Linked DNA regions of Macaca fascicularis. The protein of the gene in region 1 purifies or fractionates together with the protein of each later gene. This does not show direct contact. Links are inferred from orthologs where the notes say so. Each region holds a gene or a part of one and is shown on either strand. Other genes may lie near its edges.

Region 1 (9,621 bases):
GAGAACTGCTGGAACCCGGGAGGCAGAGGTTGAGGTGAGCCAAGATCGCGCCACTGCACTCCAGCCAGGGTGACCGAGACTCCGTCTCAAAACAAAAAACCCAGAAAGAGTTGACCAGAGGGATGTGCAGATGTGATTAGGACTAAGGACCCGCACAACCCGAGGCGGGCAGGGCCCCCAGGCCTGGAAACACTTCCGGCATCAGGAGGAGAAGTGGTGGTGGGCGTGGCTCAGAGGCCCTGAAGTGGAAGGGGCCACGAGTCAAGGAGAGCGGAGGCCTCCAGAGGTGGGCAAGTGGCTTCTCCCCCAGCAACTCTGACGTGGCCCAGATTTCAACGCAGACTTGAAAGGGGCCTCTGACTGTGAGAGGGTAACCGTCATTTTAAAGAAAAAGAAATGTGGGCCGGGTGTGGTGGCTCATGCCTGTAATCCCAGCACTTTGGGAGGCCGAGGCGGGCGGATCACGAGGTCAGGAGATCGAGACCATCCTGGCTAACACGGTGAAACCCTGTCTCTACTAAAAAAAAAAATACAAAAAATTAGCTGGGCGTGGTGGCGGGCACCCGTAGTCCCAGCTGCTTGCCAGGCTGAAGCAGGAGAATGGCGTGAACCCGGGAGGCGGAGCTTGCAGTGAGCCGAGAACGCGCCACCGCACTCCAGCCTGGGCGAGAGAGCGAGACTCTGTCTCAAAAAAAAAAAAAAAAAAAAAAAGAAAGAAATGTGTCCGGCCTACGTCACAGCACAGCTCTCACCACAGAGCGCGCTCCCCGACGTGGGGTCTGTGCCACAGGCTGGGGGCACTGCCTGGGAGGAGCATTGCTGCCCGGGAGATGAGGACCGAGACCTTTGCACACCCCTGAACATGCCAGGCTCCCTATGGCCGTGGTGCCTGCCTGGAGAGTGCCCAGGACGCAGAGCTGCTGGTGGCCCTGGGGACAGCAGGGGGACCCGGGCAAGGTCCCCCCACCCCTCCTCTGACCTACGACCCCTGCGGTGGGGGTGGGCAGTTTGTGTAAAGACACAGCCGCCAGCCAGAGTCTGCGCGTGTTGTTTACTGTTTGTCCTGCTCTTAGCTTCACATTGCCATTTTGTGTTTTGTCAAAGTCTTTCTCAATTCGCATTTGGTAAAATAAATAGAGATAAGGAGCCTTTAGGCCGGCGCTCTCTCGAGCCCTGGTTGACGTCGTGATTGAATTTCCGCATCGGACCTGTGAAGACAGCCCACGTGCAGGTGGCACGCGGAGCCCGCGGGGGCGGCTCCAGGGCGGAGTGGGCGCAGGAGGGTCTTGTCCCCTCTGGAGCCACCTGCCTTTTGACAGGTGGTGGTTTTGTCTCAAAACAAACAGAAACGCGTGTTAGGTAAGAATCGAGTTGAAGGACTGGACGGGAAGCTGTGTGTGCGGGTGGAGCTGGGCTTCTGGAAGATTCTGGTGTTGCCGCCTGGCATGCCCTGTGAGCTGAGTGAGGCCGGGACTTGTGGGGGTTGGGGCCCTCTACACCTTCTGGACCTGGTCTGCTCGCTCGGCCCAGACGTGGGGATGGGATTCGTGCCGGAACCTTCTTCTGGTGGGAGCTCACATTTCAAAAAAGAGCAGCGGAGGGGCCGCCTCTGTCCCACCTTGTCATGTCCCGGCCAGCCCCAGCTCAGACTCCAGCTCAGCCCCCTGAAGACCACGTGTTTCTCTGACCAAACGCAGCTAGGCAGGGTTCCATCCACCCAGAAGATGCTCTTGGCCACGGCAGGATGCCAGTCACACCACAGGGGAGCCGGGCCTCGCCGTGCCCGCTCTCACTCCCGTGGTTGTGGGCCTCTTACTGCCGCAATGAAGCCACTTGGCTCCTCCACCTCTCAATAATCCTGATTCCCGACGAACATGGAAAAAATGCTTTTCAAAATACCATCATTGTGGTTGTGTTCTGTTTGCAAAACTGCCCTGAGGCCCCTCCTGGGCGGGACTGTCCACACAGCTCCTGTCTGCACCACAGGCCCAGCTGCAAGCCAAGGTCGCATCAGCATGGGCGACTCAGGGCTGGAGATGGGGCTGGTGTCACCCAGAGCCGTCTAGGACCCGGCAGTGCCTCTCACCTGTGTGTGATGAACGTGTGCGGACAGAGCAGGGAGACCACGCCGCCTGCATGTGTGCCCCCAGGGTGCCAGCCGTGGTGCCCGCACATGCGTGTGCTACACCCGTGTGTGGGCACAGGCACGGAGACCACAGGCCGGGTCGCCGCCCCTGCGCGTGTGGGGAAGAGCAGCCCTTCGGAGGGAAAGGAGCCCTGTGGACTAAGGCAGGGGCTACACTGCCAAGGACCTGCCTCTTCGGTGCGCGGCCACAGAGGCCCCTGCTGACAGCTCTGCATGAGGGGCCAAAACTAGAGTCTAGAGACCTGGAGGTGCAGGGAGGGTGGGCTGTGGAGGAGGCGCTGCGCTCCTCCCGTTCAGTGATGCGGCCAGCGGCCAAGGACAGCCCGGCCCCCTGGGCGGCTTTCTTCATACCACCAGCTAGAGGGGCGTCTCCTTCTTCCTTTCTCTTGGTTTCCCGAATTTCCAGTGTGCCCCAGCCGGCTAGGAAATGTCCCTGCTTGCGTGCACTGACTGTGAGAGGCGGTGGGCCTGGCTGGGGCAGCACCTCTCGCTCGCTCTTGGCCTGATGGGGACGGCTGCTCCAGGGACCCGCAGGAGCCCCAGCGCCTGCCTCTCCTCCAGGGCTGTCTGGGGGTTTTGCTGCAGCTAATGCTCTGATTACATGGAAATAAAATGAGGTGTTTCCCCTTTCAACGTCTCAGAGAAACACAGAACAGGAGAGGGACAGACCGCTGCGGCCGCGGGGGTGCACCTGGATGCTGGTGCTCAGTGGGAAGCCACCGTCAACCTAAGCCCTCCCCGTCCCTGACGTTCCGGACACGACAGCGAAGACAGACAAAAGCGAGTAGCAGGGCCCTCCTGCCGTCATCAGCAGCTAAGGCAGCAGCCAACGTTCACACCGCGGGGCCGCAGCAGCCGACACCCCGCGCCCCGGCAAGTGGCAGCTTCACTATGTACAGCAGGCGGCCGTGGCCTGGCGGGCCGGGTCGCGCCGCTATCTGACGCGCTTCTCCACCGAGTACACGGAGATGTAGTAGTCGTTGCTTCCCACGGCCAGGTGAGGCTGCAAGGAGAGAGCAGAAGGGTAAGCAGGGGTTCAGGTGCGGACACTGCGGGCGGGGGGCGGCGTGCGGGCCAACCCGCATCCTTAGGCAGCTCCTGCCGGGGTCTCAGGAATCCCTGCGCCCACCTCAGGCCCGGAAATGCTGGGCCGGTCCCCACCAGTCCTCTCTGCAGGGCCCATGCATGGTGCACTCCGTGAGAGGTGTGGTGCTGCCCCCGGGCCCTGCGTGTTTTTTTCAGCACTGCCCCTCAGGGACAGCTCTGGGATCTAATGTCACACGTTAGCAGAGCTGCATGCCTGAAGCCTGAAGGCATGAACGCAAGAAGGCAGGTGGGCAGGATCCTAATCTAAAGACAATGGCCTGAAGCCACGTGGGGAGGCTGCAACCAAGGCCAGAGAGCCGTGCAGGTGGGGCCCAGCTGCACAGGGGACGGGGTAAGGACTTGGTCACACAGGGGATGGGGGTGAGGGCTGCACAGGGGACGGGGTGAGGGTCGCAGAGGGGACGGGGTGAGGGTCACAGAGGGGATGGGGTGAGGGCCGCAGAGGTGACGGGGTGAGGGCCGCAGAGGGGACGGGGTGAGGGCCGCAGAGGGGACGGGGTGAGGGTCGCAGAGGGGACGGGGTGAGGGCCGCAGAGGGGACGGGGTGAGGGTCGCAGAGGGGACGGGGTGAGGGCTGCAGAGGGGACGGGGTGAGGGTCGCACAGGGGACGGGGTGAGGGCCGCACAGGGGACGGGGTGAGGGCCGCACAGGGGACGGGGTGAGGGCTGCAGAGGGGACGGGGTGAGGGTTGCACAGGGGACGGGGTGAGGGTTGCACAGGGGACGGGGTGAGGGTCGCAGAGGGGACGGGGTGAGGGTCGCACAGGGGACGGGGTGAGGGTCGCACAGGGGACGGGGTGAGGCCTGCAGAGGGGACGGGGTGAGGGTTGCACAGGGGACGGGGTGAAGGCTGCACAGGAATGGACACCCTGAGCGACTCTGCCTGGAGGTCCCCAGGGATGGCTTTAGTGCAGGGTCTGAGGGCAGGAGCTCTGCCCGACCACTGTGCATGCGCCGTCAATTCTTCCCAGAGTGACGTGACTGGAGCTCTGCTTCCAGGGCGAGTATAGGGTGGGTCAGGGGCCCTGGAGATTCTGGGCCCCGGGCAAGTCTCTTCTTCAGGTGGCCAGTGGACCCCACTGTGGTGTGGGGTGCCCAGGCAGGACCCCTGCTGTCTGGCCCCCTTGCCTCCCATCCCTCGCCCCTGGCCCCCGGCCCCCGGCCCCCAGCCCCCACCCACCGCTGCACTGACCCAGTGTGGGTGGAAGGCCAGGCAGCTGATGGCGCCGACCCGCTGACCCATGAAGCCGTCGTAGTACTTGATGTTGTTGATCAGCTCGCCGCCCCCATTGTAGATGGCAGTGAACTGATTGACGGAGCCACTGTGGGGAGAGAAAGGGTCCCAGTGTCACTGCCCTCTCCTCTGAGGATGGAAGAAAGACAGGTGCACAGGCTGAGACTGCAGGGACAGGCCGGCTCGGGGCAGGTGTGACCCTCTGGTCACTCTCACTGAGGACTCGGGCCTGGCAGGGCCCTGAGAGTTGATCCTGGGAGGAGGATGTGGTGGGCAGAGATCTTTTGTTTTTATGTCCCAACAGCAGTGAAATCCTCCCCTGCCCTCCTTCAGCTCCTGTGGGGCAGGCACACAAGAGCCTCGTGTTTGCACAGAGGCCGGAGGCAGGGAGCTCGGAGGCCAGGGAGGCGGCGCCTACCATGCGATCAGGTCCGCCTGGGGGTGGATGTCCAGGGCTGTCAGCCCCTTCACGATCTGAAGCACATTCACCGACTCGGGCATCCGGGGATCAAAGATGCGCACGTCTCCATTGACACTGCCAAGAGAGGGTCACGGTGACACCTCCACCCGGAGCCCCCAGGAGGGGCCTAACCGGGGGACGGCGGAACTGGGTGTGGGGGTCGCACGCCTGTTTGCACACACACTGCTCAAGGAAAAGGCTGCCTGGATGCTCAGCGCCCCTGTGAGGGCTGCCCAGGCCGGGCCCAGACACGCCCCCGCACCGGTCTCAGGGTCAAGGCTGCCCCTCGAGCTCCCTCAGAGCCAGAAAAGGCCCGGAGCTTTCCCGCCTAGAGAAACGGCCACGAGCACAGACGCAGGAGGAGGCTGTGAGCTACTGGCTTCATTTCCAGCCAGAGATTAGATTTCATGCAACAGGGGCCTGCAGTCCCGGGAGACAGAGCCTAGATGGCGGGCTGCGGCCTGAGGGATGGCCTGGCCCTTTTGAGGCCCCGTGGCTCCTGCCTTCCACCCTAGCAGGCGTCCATCCCAAGAGTTATGTCTGGTTTTTATATCACAAACAAGAGGGGAAAGAGCATCTCTTTGAAGAAATGCTGGCTTTGTGTTCATAAATTACATTCTGCTCTCCCTTTAATAGGCAAATAAATATTCCCTGCTCTTGGTGCTGTATTCACCAAGCCGCAGAACTGAATTTACGTGCAGACAACTGCCACATGCCTGGCGGATGCGCCGCCCCTGCCGCTCGGCCACCCCTGCTGTGGAGGGAGAGCCGCTGCCCAGCTCCCCCCGACCCTCCGCGCGGCAGCCCAGGAAAGTTCCCACAGCGCCGGCAGGTCAGGTGTCCCCCAGCAGGGGGAGCAGCCGCGCCCGGGCCCCTGGGGGCTGTGCCGGACCTTTCTGGCCAGTTCCAGGGCAGGAGTTAATTATCGCCCGAAATGCCATCCCCTTTCCGCTGTTTAAATACCAAGGACATATTTTAAAAGGGGGGAAAATAATGTTTTTACAGCAGAGCGGCTGCTAACCATCGGCGCTCCTCACCTCACGCTCACGATGTGGCCGTCGGGGCGCTTCTGCAGAGAGGCCTTCACCACCCAGGCCGTGTGCTCGCGGTACGTCATGACGCGGCTGCAGGGGAGGGGCGCTCAGCGTGGGCTTCCCCGAAGGATGTCCCCACCCTTCGGGGCTCTCACCGGGGGCTGCCCAGGTCTGCCTGTGCCAGCGGGTCCGCACCAGGGACTGCCCACGTCTGCCTGTGCCAGCGGGCTCTCACCGGGGGCTGCCCAGGTCTGCCTGTGCCAGCGGGTCCGCACCGGGGACTGCCCACGTCTGCCTGTGCCAGCGGGTCCGCACCGGGGACTGCCCACGTCTGCCTGTGCCAGTGGGTCCGCAGGCCCTCGCCCGTCCGCTGCCCAGGAGGAGCTAGTGCCCATGCAGGGTCAGAGCCCCCTCCAGGTGACCTGCTCCAGCAGAGACCCCCTGTGTCCTCCCCAGGCCGGCTCAGGGCTGGGCCCTAGGTCACCGTCAGGCCGCTGGAGGACTGTCTGAGCCACATGGGAGCTGCCCAGAGATGGGGGCCAGGCGGCCATTGCAGCGCTCCCAGGCCCTGCCCACCCTTTGCTTTACTTCCCTCAAAACTCCTCACTGTGCCTGCCTGATCTGTGCAGACTGGAGGGTTAGGAATGAGAATCCCAGATCTAAAGCTGATGAAGCTGGGGGCACAAGGACCTTCTGGGAATCCTCGCTCTGTGCCGGGTGAAATTTACTTCTGCTGCATCAGCCATGTGGGCCAAGGCAGACTGTCCCCTGCTAGGCCCGGACAGCACCTGCCCACAGGGTGCTCGGCGGAGGCAGTGCCCGGGGCTGCTGTGCCCACGCGTGTGCCCTCAGACATCCCTCCCTGGACACTTGCTGCGTGACCCAGGAGGTGGCAGGCAGTGGCGGTATTCTGTTCAGGTGAGCTCAGAGGTGGCAGGTGTCTGGCTGGGGCCCCCGCCTCACCCCGATAGCCTCTGCCTCCAGTCCACTGGCTCATCCCACACGGCCAGTACCCCGTGCTCCTCCACAGGCTGTGGGATGGACCTCTGTGGGATAGGCCTCGGTGGGACAGGCCTGGCGGTTTTGGGGAGCCCAGCAGGACTGGCCTAAATACTCCATTGTGGGCTCCTGGGGAAGCTTTGCATCTCACTGAGAAACCTGGACCCAACCAACTGGTAGTGACACGGCCTCTACCACCTGGAAGGTACCCTGCCACCACTGGGGGAGGGAGAGGACAGGGCCAAGGTACCATTCGCTGAGTGCCATCCTTCTGTCGTAGACACGGATGGAGCCATCACCGAGGCCAGCCACGATGAGTGAGCGGTGGGAATCACAGGACAGGCTCGTCACGCAGCTGTCTGCGCCCGTGGGGATGTCCTAGGGCCAAACACAGGCAGCCCGGTGAAGACCTGGGCACTGAGCTGCCCTCCCTGCTGTCCTGCAGCACCAGGACCCCTCTTGCTGCCTCCCTGGCTGTGGGGATCCCCCTCCCTGGCTGCAGGGGCCTTTCTCTCTATCCAGGGAAGCATCAAAGGCCCGGGGAGCCCAGGAGTCCCAGAGAGAGGCAGGGCACTGAGTCACACCCTTGTCCGTTGGCCTTGGAGGGACAGTCCTCGGCGCCTGGGCCCCGAGCCAGTGAGGCAGAGCCCAGCCCCACCCTGAGCGGTGGCCTGCAAACGCCTCTGGGAAGGACTGGCTGTCAGTGCCAATTAAACTTCCAACCTCTCTCTGCTTCCTAAAAAGGAAAGCAAAGCACATTTTGGCAAGGACTCCTCACTGGCTACTTCTCAGAACTTCTAATGAACTACGGGGATGAGTCCAGGAGGGGTCGCCTGGCTCCCTCGGGGACTATAAGTGCTGGAGAAGTGGGGGTGGGGGGCGATGGCACCTGCCAGGGACGCAGGAGGAAAAGGGCCACGAGAGGGAGAGTGCTTTCCACGCATGAAGGATGGTGCTGGGTTGTGTACTCCAGGAGGAAACCCAGGTGTGGGGACGATGGGGCCGGACCCCTGCGAGGGGCAGAGGTGGCTCTGGGAACACCTGCTGCGCTCTGTGCCTCCACGCACCTCTGCAGGAACAGCACCTGCCCCGCAGGCCACCCGGGCCTCTAAGACCCAACTGGTGACCAGACCCTGGGGATCAGGGTGTCCACGCTGTGCCCTGAGGGCCACATCTCGTGTGGAGCCACAGTTCCAGGCAGGCCCAAGACCCTTCCACCCCAAAGAATGAAAGCTGCTGGTGCCTTGTGGGATCCGTGGTCAGGTCAGAGGAGACGCTGCCCACAGGGAGAGGCCTGGGCCAGGTTCTCAGGCTGCTGCCGCCCAGAGCAACCACAGTGGCTTTGAGCAGCTGAGGGTGCCCAGGCCTCCCCTCTGCTGGGCCTGCACCACACCACCCTCTACGGCAGGGCTGAGCCACCCCTTCTGACACCAGACGGCCTGGGAGAGAGGCTGGGGACGGCCTCTGCTCCGCACCTCTCCCTGGGGAGCCGGGGGAAGGGAATCCTGGCTCTAAAGCCACCTCAGGCACTGTCCCTCACAGTATCTGTGGTCTCGCCTCTGCTCCGAACGAAGTCAATGCAGGTAGATTTCTGCTGAGCGCGGCCTCCTGAGGTCTCTACCACTTTTCCAGGCTGTTTGGGGCAAAACCAATGTACTCCGCTTTTTGTCAAAACTGAAAATAACATGCTTTAAGAGGCAAAGAGGCTTCTGGCCAGGCGCAGTGGCTCACGCCTGTAATCCCAGCACTCTGGGAGGCTGAGGTGGGTGGATCACGAGGTTAGGAGATCGAAACCATCCTGGCTAACACGTGAAACCCCATCTCTACTAAAAATACAAAAAAAATTAGCCGGGCGTGTTGGTGGGCGCCTGTAGTCCCAGCTACTTGGGAGGCTGAGGCAGGAGAATGGCATGAACCCGGGAGGCGGAGCTTGCAGTGAGCTGAGATCACACCACTGTACTCCAGCCTGGGCGACAGAGTGAGACTCCGTCTCAAAAAAAGAAGCAAAAAGCCTTCTGTAGTGGCTCACACCTGTAATCCCAGTGCTTTGGGAGGCCCAGGCAGGAAGATTGCCGGAGCCAGGAATTCGAGACCAGCCTGGGCAAATACTGAGACCCCCGTCTCTACAAAAAGTTTAAACAATTAGCCAGGCGTGGGGGCGCATGCCTGTAGTTCCAGCTACTTGTGGGGGTGAGATGGGAGGATCACGTGGACCAGGAGGTTGAGGCTGCAGTGAGCTGTGACTGCACCACTGCACTCCAGCCTGGGTGACGCAGGGTGACAGAGTGAGACCCCATCTCAAAAAAACAAAAAAAAACAAAAACCCTACAAATAATCATTCTAATTTACAATGGCTCACCCTACTGATTTTTGACATTCCTTAACTTGCAGAGAGAAGACCCTACTTGAAAACACTCAGAGCTGGCACAGGCTGAGCCACACTAGTGCGGGGCTGAACGCTGCGGTTCACCCGCATCCACGGGCCTCAGGCAGCCCATGTCTCCTCCCGGCATTGCCCGGCACTGTCCTTCCAGGCCCTGCCTCCGCCCCTGGGATGGCCAGGCCTCACCGCACACTGTGCTGGGCTCTGTGATGAGGACCAGCCCTGCACACACTGCCCCACAGGCCTGGGGCTTGGGGG
Region 2 (10,244 bases), on another chromosome or scaffold:
TACTGCAAACTCTACCTCTGAGGTTCAAGCAATTCTCCTGCCTCAGCCTCCTGAGTAGCTGGGATTACAGGCGCCTGGCACCATGCCCGGCTAATTTTGTACTTTTAGTAGATACTGGGTTTCACCATCTTGGCCAGGCTGGTCTCAAACTCCTGACCTCGTGATCCAACCGCCTTGGCCTCCCAAAGTGCTGGGATTACAGGCATGAGCCACCACAACTGGCCAAAAAGTTTTCTTTTCTTTTCTTTTTTTTTTAGATGGAGTTTCACCCCGTTGCCAGGCTGGAGTACAGTGGTTTGATCTCGGCTCACTGCAACCTCTGACTCCCAGGTTCAAGCGATTCTCCTGCCTCAGCCTCCCAAGTAGCTGGGACTACAGGCATGCGCCACCACGCTCAGCTAATGTTTATATTTTTAGTAGAGATGGGGTTTCACCATATTGGCCAGGATGGTCTCGAACTCCTGACCTCATGATCTGCCCGCCTCGGCCTCGCAAAGTGCTGGGATTACAAGCATGAGCCACTGCGCCCAGCCTACACTTAGCTAATTTTTAAAAGTTTTTTGCAGAGAAGAGGTCGTCTTGCCATCTTGCCCAGGTTGGCCTCAAACTCCTAGGATCAAGTGATCATCCCACCTTGGTCCCTCAAAGTGCTGGGATTGCAGATGTGAGTTACCATGCCCAGCCAAAAGAAAATGTTATTAGAGATGCTGAGAATCAGGAATTTGGCAGGTAACGCATAGAGGAAAAAGCATCCCAGACACAGGCAAGGGCTCAAAGGGGAGAACATGGCTGGGCGCTGTGGCTCACGCCTGTAATCCCAGCACTTTGGGAGGCTGAGGCGGCAGATCATGAGGTCAGGAGTTCGAGACCAGCCTGTCCAATATGGTGAAACCCCGTCTCTCCTAAAAATACAAAAAATTAGCCAGGCATGGTGGGGGGTGCCTGTAATCCCAGCTACTCAGGAGGAGTCTGAGGCAGGAGAATCGCTTGAACCCAGGAGGCAGAGATTGCACCACTGCAGTCCAGCCCTGTCAGCAGTGTGAGACTCCATCTGAAAAACAAAACAAAACAAAAAAAAGAGAACATGTCTCCTCTGGCCAGAGTACAGGATGCATGGAGTATTAGTCCATTTTCATACTGCAATAAAGAACATCTGAGACTGGATAATTTATAAAGGAAAGAGGTTTATTTGACTCACAGTTCAGCATGGCTGGGGAGGCCTCAGGAAACTTACAATCATGGCGGAAGGCGAAGGGGAAGCAAGGCACCCATTCTCTGTAAGGCGGCAGGAAGAAGTGGAGCAAAGGAGGAGGAACCCCTTATAAAACCATCAGATCTGGCCGGGCGCGGTGGCTCAAGCCTGTAATCCCAGCACTTTGGGAGGCCGAGACGGGCAGATCACGAGGTCAGGAGATCGAGACCATCCTGGCTAACACCGTGAAACCCCGTCTCTACTAAAAATACAAAAAAACTAGCCGGGCGAGGTGGCGGGCGCCTGTAGTCCCAGCTACTCCGGAGGCTGAGGCAGGAGAATGGCCTAAACCCGGGAGGCGGAGCTTGCAGTGAGCTGAGATCTGGCCACTGCACTCCAGCCCGGGCTACAGAGCAAGACTCCGTCTCAAAAAAAAAAAAAAAAAAAAAAAAAAAAACCAAAAACCATCAGATCTCTTGAGCACTCACTCACTATCATGAGAACTGCATGGGGCAGCCCGCCCTCCTGATTCAGTTACCTCCACCTGGTCCGTCCCTTGACACACGGGGATTATGTGGATTACAATTCAAGACGAGATTTGGGCGGGGACACAAAGCCTAACTATATCACATGGAGAGGAGATGGAAGCCACAGGGTGGGCCAGGGCCAGGCCCAGGAGTCTGGAGAGGGACAGGGACCCCTGACGGCTTCTAATGGGGTGATCACGTCATTCCTAGGTTTTGCTGTGGGTTTTTGTTTTGTTGTGTTTTGAGAAAAGGTCTTGCTCTGTCACCCAGGCTGGAGTGCAGTGGCGCAACCACAGCTCACTGCAGCCTCCAGTTCCTGGTCTCGAGTGAACCTTCCACCTCAGCCTCCCAAGTAGCTGGGACCACAGGCATGCACCACCATTCCTGGCTTTTTTTTTTTTTTTTTTTTTTGAGACGGAGTCTCGCTCTGTCGCCCAGGCTGGAGTGCAGTGGCCGGATCTCAGCTCACTGCAAGCTCTGCCTTTGACCTCGTGATCCACCCGTCTCGGCCTCCCAAAGTGCTGGGATTACAGGCTTGAGCCACCACGCCTAGCCCATTCCTGGCTAATTTTTAAATTTTTTGTAGAGATGGGGTCTCACTGTATTGTCCAGGATGGACTTGAACTCCTGGGCTCAAGTGATCCTCCTGCCTCAGCCTTCCAAAGTACTGGGATTACAGGCATGAATCACTGTGCTGGGCTCAGGCTCAAGTACTGGGATTACAGGCATGAATCACTGTGCTGAGGGGTTTTTGTTTGTTTGTTTGTTCTGAGATGGAGTATGGCTCTGTTGCCCGGTCTGGAATGCAGTGGCACCATCTCGGCTCACTGCAAGCTCTGCCTCCCGGGTTCACGCCATTCTCCTGCCTCAGCCTCCCAAGTAGCTGGGACTACAGGTGCCCACCACCATGCCTGTCTAATTTTTTGTATTTTTAGTAGAGTCGGGGTTTCACCATGTTAGCCAGGATGGTCTTGATCTCCTGACCTCGTGATCCGCCTGTCTTGGCCTCCCAAAGTGCTAGGATTACAGGTGTGAGCCAATGCACCTAGCCCAGACTGAGGTTTTTAAAAGGCCATTCTGGCCGGGCGCGGTGGCTCACACCTGTAAACCTAGCACTTTGGGAGGCTGAGGCAGGTGGATCACTTGAGGTCGGGAGTTCAAGACCAGCCTGACCAACATGAAGAAATCTTGTCTCTACTAAAAATACAAAATTAGCCGGGGTGGTGGCGCATGCCTGTAATCCCAGCTACTTGGAAGACTGAGGAACCCGGGAGGGGGAGGTTGCGGTGAGACGAGATCACGCCACTGCACTCCAGCCTGGGCAACAAGAGTGAAACTCCATCTAAAAAATAAATAAATAAATAAATGGCCATTCTGCACTGTGGAGGACAGTCTGGAAGGGGGCCAGAGTGGTTAGGGCAAGGAAGGAGGCTGTTATGAGGGATGGCTGGTGAGCTAGAGCCAGGGCAGGGGAAAGGACAGGAAGATATGTCACAGGTAAAATCGGTGGGCGGTGGGGGGGGGAGGAAGGGAAGCGCAGGGCAGGGCAAGACAGGACAGGGCGAGGAAGGGGAGGTGTCGGATCTTGCCCAGCGGCAATACAAGGTGAGCACTGCCCACAGAAGGGGAGCTACTCAGGGATGAGTTGTCTCCGCCATGGAATGTGGTGGACCCTGCGGGGCATTCAAAGGACAGTGTCTAATAGGGAGCTGAGGCCATTACAGCTGGAGACAGAGTGGAAGGGGCCCAGCACAGGGACAGCATTGGAAGCTCCAGAGCTAGTAGTCGCCAGCCCCCCAGTATCTCGTGGGGTGCAGAGAGTGAACTCTGGAGAGCCCCAGTCTTTGGAGGGAGGCAGGGAAAGAGACTAAATTCCGAGAAAGGAGCTAGGAGAAGGCAGCCTTTCAGGCATGGTGATGTCAACCATGGCACAGATGCGTCAAGAAGTGGGAGGGGGCCGGGCACAGTGGCTCACGCCTGTAATCCCAGCACTTTGGGAGGCTGGGGGGGGTGCAGATCACAAGGTCAGGAGATCAAGACCATCCACCATCCTGGCCAACATGGTGAAACCCTGTCTCTACTAAAAATACAAAAATTAACTGGGCGTGGTGACACACACCTGTAATCCGAGCTACCTGGGAGGCTGAGGCAGGAGAATGGCTTGAACCTGGGAGGCGGAGACTGTGGAAAGTCGAGATGGCACCACTGCACTCCAGGCTGGCAACAAAGCAAGACTCTGTCTCAAAAAAAAAAAAAAAAAAAAAAAAGAAGTGGGAGGCTGGGCGCAGTGGCTCATGCCTGTAATCCCAGCACTTTGGGAGGCTGAGGTGGGCGGATCACTTGAGGTCAGGAGTTTGAGACCAGCCTTGCCAACATGGTGAAATCCCATCTCTGCTAAAAATACAAAAATCAGCCAGGTGTGGTGGCGCACGCCTATCATCCCAGGTACTCAGGAGGCTGACGCAGGAGAATCCCTTGAACCTGGGAGGTAGAGGTTTTGCAGTGAGTCAAGATTGCACCACTGCACCCCAGCCTGGGTGAGAAAGGGAGATTGCGACTCAAAAAAACAAAACAAAACAAAACAAAAAAAACGGGTGGGAGGAAGGAAGGAAAAGTATCCACTGGATTTAGCAAAGTGAGATTGTCAGTGGCCTTGAGGAATTTCCACTGGAGACCTAGAGAGCTGGGGTAAAAGGCAGATGACTGGGGTTGCAGAATGAGTGGGAGGTGAGGACGTGGTCTAACGGTGAGGACCGCTCTTTAACGAAGAGAGTCTGGGATTGTTTTATAGTGTTTAAAGGCTAAGGGGCAGGAAGGAGAGGAGGTGAAGGTATAGGAAGGAAGGCTCCTGGGAACTATGGCCTGGTCAAGGGACAAGAGGCACCCCCTCTGTGGCCAGAGGAAGGGGTGCAGTCACATCTGTAAGAGCAGTGGGAAAAAACCATGCGAGAGCCAGTCTCAAGGGTGAGGGCACCAGCGTGGAGCGCACAGAGCTGGAATGAGGGCCTGTGGTTTTGAGGGGGACCCTGGGCTCAGTGGGATGTCCCAAGGGTCAGGCTGGGGCTGGGGTACCAGATCTAGTGAGTACAACTACAGGATGCCCAGCAAAATTTTTTTTAGCATAAGTATTTCCCATGCAACGTCCGGGATATACTTACACTAAAAAAAAAAAAATTATTCGTTGTCTGAACTCAAGTCCTGTAATTTTCAGCCAATTCTAGCCCAGCGTGGCGCATTAGTGGGTCAGGGAGGGCACGGGAACGGCGCGACCCGACAGCCTGGGAAACGGACAGCCGTGTCAGAAGGGAAGGTGCCAGTGGGGAGGAGGCCAGAGAGAAAGCCGCAGCTTCCTTCCACCTCGCGCCGGGCCCGCGGCAACGCAAGGAACCTCTCCGGGTTCCTCCCGGCGGGAACCCCCTGCCCCAGAACTTTGGTCTCGTCCCATCCACCCCCGCCCGCGCCATGGTCTCGCCCTAGGGAGTTATCGATAACTCTACGCTCGACCTCGATCGACTCGCTCCCGCTCCCCTTGCCGTCCTGGACACAGCGGAGTGCGGAGTCGCCCGTAAGGTACGAGGCCGCGAGCCAGGGGCCGGGAACCGGCTGCTGGGTGGCTGGGAGAGTACGGCTAGGGGAAGCCGGCCAGCAGGACGGAGAAAGGGCGGTCGGCGGAGGACAGGGGAGCTCGGGGGTCCAGCCAGACTGCGCCCCTTCCCATCACGGCCCGCCGCCGGCCTGCTACGCATGCGCAGCCGCAGGGCTCGGCTTTCCCCGGCCCACCCGCCGCCTTGCGCACGCGCAGCCCGCCCCTGCGGCAGAGTGGCGCCCGCGCGTGACTGCCCCCTGTCGGCTGCGGGGGGGACGGCGCCCCCGCCGGGTGCGTGGGGCGGGGATGGAGCACGCGCCCTGGAGCCCCGGAGCCGCCCGGAGCCGGGTGTCACGCGTGTGACGCGTGTCCCTGAACCTACCTCCGCTTGTTGTCCCAACTCTAAATTGGGAATGATAAGCGCCATTCGGCAGCGCCCCGTGGGTCTGTAATCTGTTTAGCACAGTGTGTCCTCTAAGTACTTTACATCCTTCTCTGCAGATGCCCTGACCTTTGACCCCTGCTATTCAGCTCTAGGGCCCGTGCAGGCCACACCATGAACACGTCCCCAGGCACGGTGGGCAGTGACCCGGTCATCCTGGCCACTGCAGGCTACGACCACACCGTGCGCTTCTGGCAGGCCCACAGCGGCATCTGCACCCGGACTGTGCAGCACCAGGACTCCGTATCCTCCACCTGGGGCGGGCAGGGCGGCGCTGGAGGGATGCCTCATGTGGGGACCACAGCCTGGGTGAAGGCCAGATGGTGAAGGCCTGGGGGCCCCTGTCCTCAGGGCTGCCTTCCCATCATCCTCCTTAACAGTCCCAGCAGGTGAATGCCTTGGAGATCACACCAGACCGCAGTATGATTGCTGCTGCAGGTATCTGTGACCCTTGATCTCTAACCCCTGACCTCTGGTGGGTCGACCTGAGCACAACCAAGCTTCATTTCAGCCTGTGTCCCTAGGTTACCAGCACATCCGCATGTATGATCTCAACTCCAATAACCCCAACCCCATCATCAGCTATGATGGCGTCAACAAGAACATCGCGTCTGTGGGCTTCCACGAAGACGGCCGCTGGATGTACACGGGCGGCGAGGACTGCACAGCCAGGATCTGGGACCTCAGGTGCGGTGGGGAGGGGCCTGCTGCCTGGGGCTGGGCTGGGCTGGGCTGCTCTGAGAGACCATTTTAGGTTGGGTTCTCTCCAAGCAGAGGCTGAAATAGGGAGCTTCCTGTGGGCGACTCAGTGAGAGAAGTGAGGACAGGAGGAGAGTGAATTGCATCAAAGCGCGAGTCCTGCCTTGAGCCCGGAGCTAGCGTGTTATTCCCCTTCCACCAGCCACTGGCTTAGGCTCCCTGCTGGAGTGGAGGGCCCTGCGTCTCGAGTATTTCCCAAGAGGCAGGTCCTTTAGCAGAGGGAGGGGAGGAGTGGCCAGGCTAAGGCCATCTGGGTAGGGCACCAACAAGCCCAGATGGACAGCATGTGCCCTGGCCCGGTCCACAGGTCCCGGAACCTGCAGTGCCAGCGGATCTTCCAGGTGAACGCACCCATTAACTGCGTGTGCCTGCACCCCAACCAGGTGAGGGGTGCTCATGGGGCCAGGCACTCTGGGACTTTGGAGGGCTGGGCTTGGGTCCTGCCTCACCACCCCTGCACCCCAGGCAGAGCTCATCGTGGGTGACCAGAGCGGGGCTATCCACATCTGGGACTTGAAAACAGACCACAACGAGCAGCTGATCCCCGAGCCCGAGGTCTCCATCACGTCTGCCCACATTGACCCCGACGCCAGCTACATGGCAGCTGTCAATAGCGCTGTGAGTCCTGGAGGCAGGTGCTGGGTGGGGCCAGCTTGGCACTCAGCCCTTAGCCTCTGCAGGTGGGCTTATTCCTGGATGTCCCTTAGTGCCCCCCTCCTGCTTCCCCATCCTAGGCACTAACACCCACCCTGCCAGCAAAGCCAGAAGCGTGAATGTCGCTCCCAATGCCTTGGCCCTGTCTGCAGGCCGGTCGCTCCGCTTTCTGGAGTCTCTCCCAAGTCGGTCCACTTCCCTCTTTTCTCTCTGTTGCCTCCTGGTCCCAGTCACCCTCATTTCCCATGACAGCTGACACACTCTCTGAGGCCTCCTTTCCTCCTCCCTGACCTCCCCCGGCCCCTGACCCGTTCTCTCTTGGATGCTTCTAGTGGTGCCTCGTCAGTACCAGCCAGGTGGCATCATTCCCCTGGGGAGACCCAGGGCTACTGGCCTTGCCCTTAGGCTGCCGTGGTGTGGCCCCTGTTCTTCTCTCCAACCTCATTTTTTTCCGTTAACTCCATTTAATCCCAGCGTGTCACTTGTCCCTCTTGCCCCCGGATTTCCTTTCTCCTGGCCTTTGTCATGTTGTCTCTCTAGCTGGTGCCCTCTCCCGTGTACTTCCATTGGCCATCGGCATCCTCCAGGAAGGGGAATTTGAGTCTTTGGCCAGGTGTGGCCTCCTGTTCTTGGCTTGCCATGTGTGGCCCTTGGTTAGGGCCAGGCTACCCAGGTGCCTTCTGCAGGCAGGACCAGAGGGGCCTGTCCGCCCCGACCCAGGGTCCCCATGCACAGTTGAACCCCAGTGTTGGCCCCCAGGGCATCCTTCCCTGTGTCTCAGACCTGAGGCCTCGGGTCCCCTGTGACGGTCCTCCTGACCTCTAGGGAAACTGCTATGTCTGGAATCTGACGGGGGGCATTGGTGACGAGGTAACTCAGCTCATCCCCAAGACCAAGATCCCCGCCCACACGCGCTACGCCCTGCAGTGCCGCTTCAGCCCCGACTCCACGTGCGTGCAGGGCCTGCTGGCCCGAGAGGGGACCTGCCTGGGCTGTGGGCTGGAGACGGGAGGGGCTGCTGGGTGGAGTGGCTGCTGCTGGACACGCCCCCACGCCCATACCCCAGGCTCCTCGCCACCTGCTCGGCTGATCAGACGTGCAAGATCTGGAGGACGTCCAACTTCTCCCTGATGACGGAGCTGAGCATCAAGAGCGGCAACCCCGGGGAGTCCTCCCGTGGTTGGATGTGGGGCTGTGCTTTCTCGGGGGACTCCCAGTACATCGTCACTGGTGAGCCCCGCCCAGCCTCCCCATCCCTGGCCTCCCAGCGCTGGCCTCCAGAGCCAGCCCACCTTGGCTGCGGCTCCCCCTCTGCTAGGGCCACCTGCCTGGCCTGCACCTCTGCTCTGAGCCCTGCCCAATCTCCCCCTCCAGCTTCCTCGGACAACCTGGCCCGGCTCTGGTGTGTGGAGACTGGAGAGATCAAGAGAGAGTATGGCGGCCACCAGAAGGCTGTCGTCTGCCTGGCGTTCAACGACAGTGTGCTGGGCTAGCCTGTGACCCCTCAGGACTGCCTGGTGTAGGTGGTGGCAGCTGGAGGGTCCCATGCAGCACCCAGGTCAGAACAGGCCCTACTGCCGGCCTACACCAGCTGGACCTGATGGCCCCCTGTGGCACTTTGACCTGCTGGGCCAGGCCGCCCTGGGACTCTCAGCCCCCAGTTGCTTATCCAGATGTGACAGCTCGACCCAAGCCAGGCTGCACACTCCTGGACTAGGCTAGCCTGCACTGCCTGGGAGTCAGCCAAGGGCCCAAAGCTGCTGAGGGGTGTGAGGCTGGTGCCCACCCCTAAGCTAGTGTGTTTCCTGTCCCCTCCCTGCCGCGTTTCAGGGCCTTAGTCCACAGAGAACACCACCGTGGCCAGGTGGAAGGGTTTATTAGTCCCTGCCGGCAGCTATCCTCCCTGGTGCGGGTGACCTGGCCAGCCCGCTGGATTGGGGACAGGGACCGGGCTGGGCCAGGTCGGGGCTCAGTCTGGGAGGTAATAAAAGCAGACTGACACACAGATGTTGCTTGGGAAGCAGATGTCGATGCACAGATAAATCAGCCGCTGTCTCCGGGGCCCTGTGGTGAGAGTGCCGTGAATCCCCAAGGGCTCCGCCCCCAGCTCATCAAACCATCCCGAGGGCCTGGCCTCCCCCCACAGTGGCCCTGACTCACCCTCTGCTCGCCGGGCCCAGTAGATGGGGGTCCTTGTGCACAGGCGCTGCACCAAATCCCCCACCTGGGCAGGGTCCACCTCGTGGCTCCCCTGCACTGCCAGCAGCTCCTGGGTGTGTTGGGTGTCCTGGGCAGGGCCCCGAGGCTCTTGGACCTGTTGAGAAGGCTCTGGTGGGCTGTGGGACAGGGCTGCTCCCTACTCCTGGCTGGGCGGGGCTGGATACCCCCCAACCCCCAGTGATGTCCCCACCCTCTGCTCTTGTCAGCAGCCTGGGCTCAGGGTGGAGAGAGCTTCCTGTTCCCTGAAACCAGAGCTCCAGCCTATCCTGTGCCCAGCTGCACACAGGACCCTTTGTCTAGCCCCTGGTGGGGGGCTGTGCCCAGCAGGATGGCTCACCTTGGAGGTATCCATCAGCAGCCGCAGGGTCTCCCGATCACTGTCCTCCATCAGGCGGAGGAAGCAGGCCTGGTGCTCCTCGGGGCGGTAACAGATGCAGCCCTGGGGAGGCAGGGAGGTGAGGCAGGGCCACCCCGACCGACACCTGCAAGGGTGACGTGACCCCTCCCTGCCCACTCACGCTCTGCCCGTCGAACAGCACCACCCAGCTGTGGTTGCTCTGAGGTGAGGTCACTGTGATGGTCGCTGCGTTCCGGGCCACGTCCACCAGGATGGTTTGGTTGGGCCGGGGCATGTGGGGGCTTGGGAGGGTCATTCGTAGCGTCTGCAGCCTTGGCTGGCAGTGGGAGTTGGAGTTCAGCTGGGCAGCTGGACAACCCCAGCACAGCCGCCAGCTCTGGGCTGCAGGACTCCTGACATCCCCGAGTGGGCCCTTCCACCTCTGGCCGTCTGCTCCTAGGCGGTCACTGCCTGCTCTGCACCCTGGCTCTGCTGGAGGCTGGGATGTGCCAGCTTCCCTTTCCCCT

Evidence for each region. Proteins that work in one complex are often made in the same cells at the same time.
Region 2: the proteins of RPTOR (region 1) and MLST8 purify together in Homo sapiens (affinity purification with western blotting; 15 studies listed by BioGRID and IntAct, with this or other methods). This does not show direct contact. The link is inferred for Macaca fascicularis from reciprocal best matches to the Homo sapiens genes RPTOR and MLST8.

Annotation. Positions count from the first base shown.
Region 1 is NC_088390.1:87,373,942-87,383,562, reverse strand, and holds the end of RPTOR (regulatory-associated protein of mTOR), read right to left. Parts: intron 7,359-9,621; coding exon 7,231-7,358; intron 6,072-7,230; coding exon 5,985-6,071; intron 5,023-5,984; coding exon 4,906-5,022; intron 4,576-4,905; coding exon 4,446-4,575; intron 3,150-4,445; coding exon 3,081-3,149; 3' UTR 1,038-3,080; downstream 1-1,037. UniProt on the Homo sapiens protein: Component of the mechanistic target of rapamycin complex 1 (mTORC1), an evolutionarily conserved central nutrient sensor that stimulates anabolic reactions and macromolecule biosynthesis to promote cellular biomass generation and growth.
Region 2 is NC_088394.1:2,970,376-2,980,619, forward strand, and holds MLST8 (target of rapamycin complex subunit LST8), read left to right. Parts: upstream 1-5,230; 5' UTR 5,231-5,289; intron 5,290-5,627; exon of another isoform or gene 5,628-5,749; intron 5,750-5,806; exon of another isoform or gene 5,807-5,836; 5' UTR 5,837-5,861; coding exon 5,862-5,990; intron 5,991-6,133; coding exon 6,134-6,185; intron 6,186-6,271; coding exon 6,272-6,434; intron 6,435-6,813; coding exon 6,814-6,889; intron 6,890-6,971; coding exon 6,972-7,124; intron 7,125-7,985; coding exon 7,986-8,110; intron 8,111-8,226; coding exon 8,227-8,390; intron 8,391-8,534; coding exon 8,535-8,653; 3' UTR 8,654-9,129; downstream 9,130-10,244. Other genes in the region: BRICD5 (BRICHOS domain-containing protein 5), read right to left, coding at 9,130-9,474, 9,718-9,819, 9,899-10,054.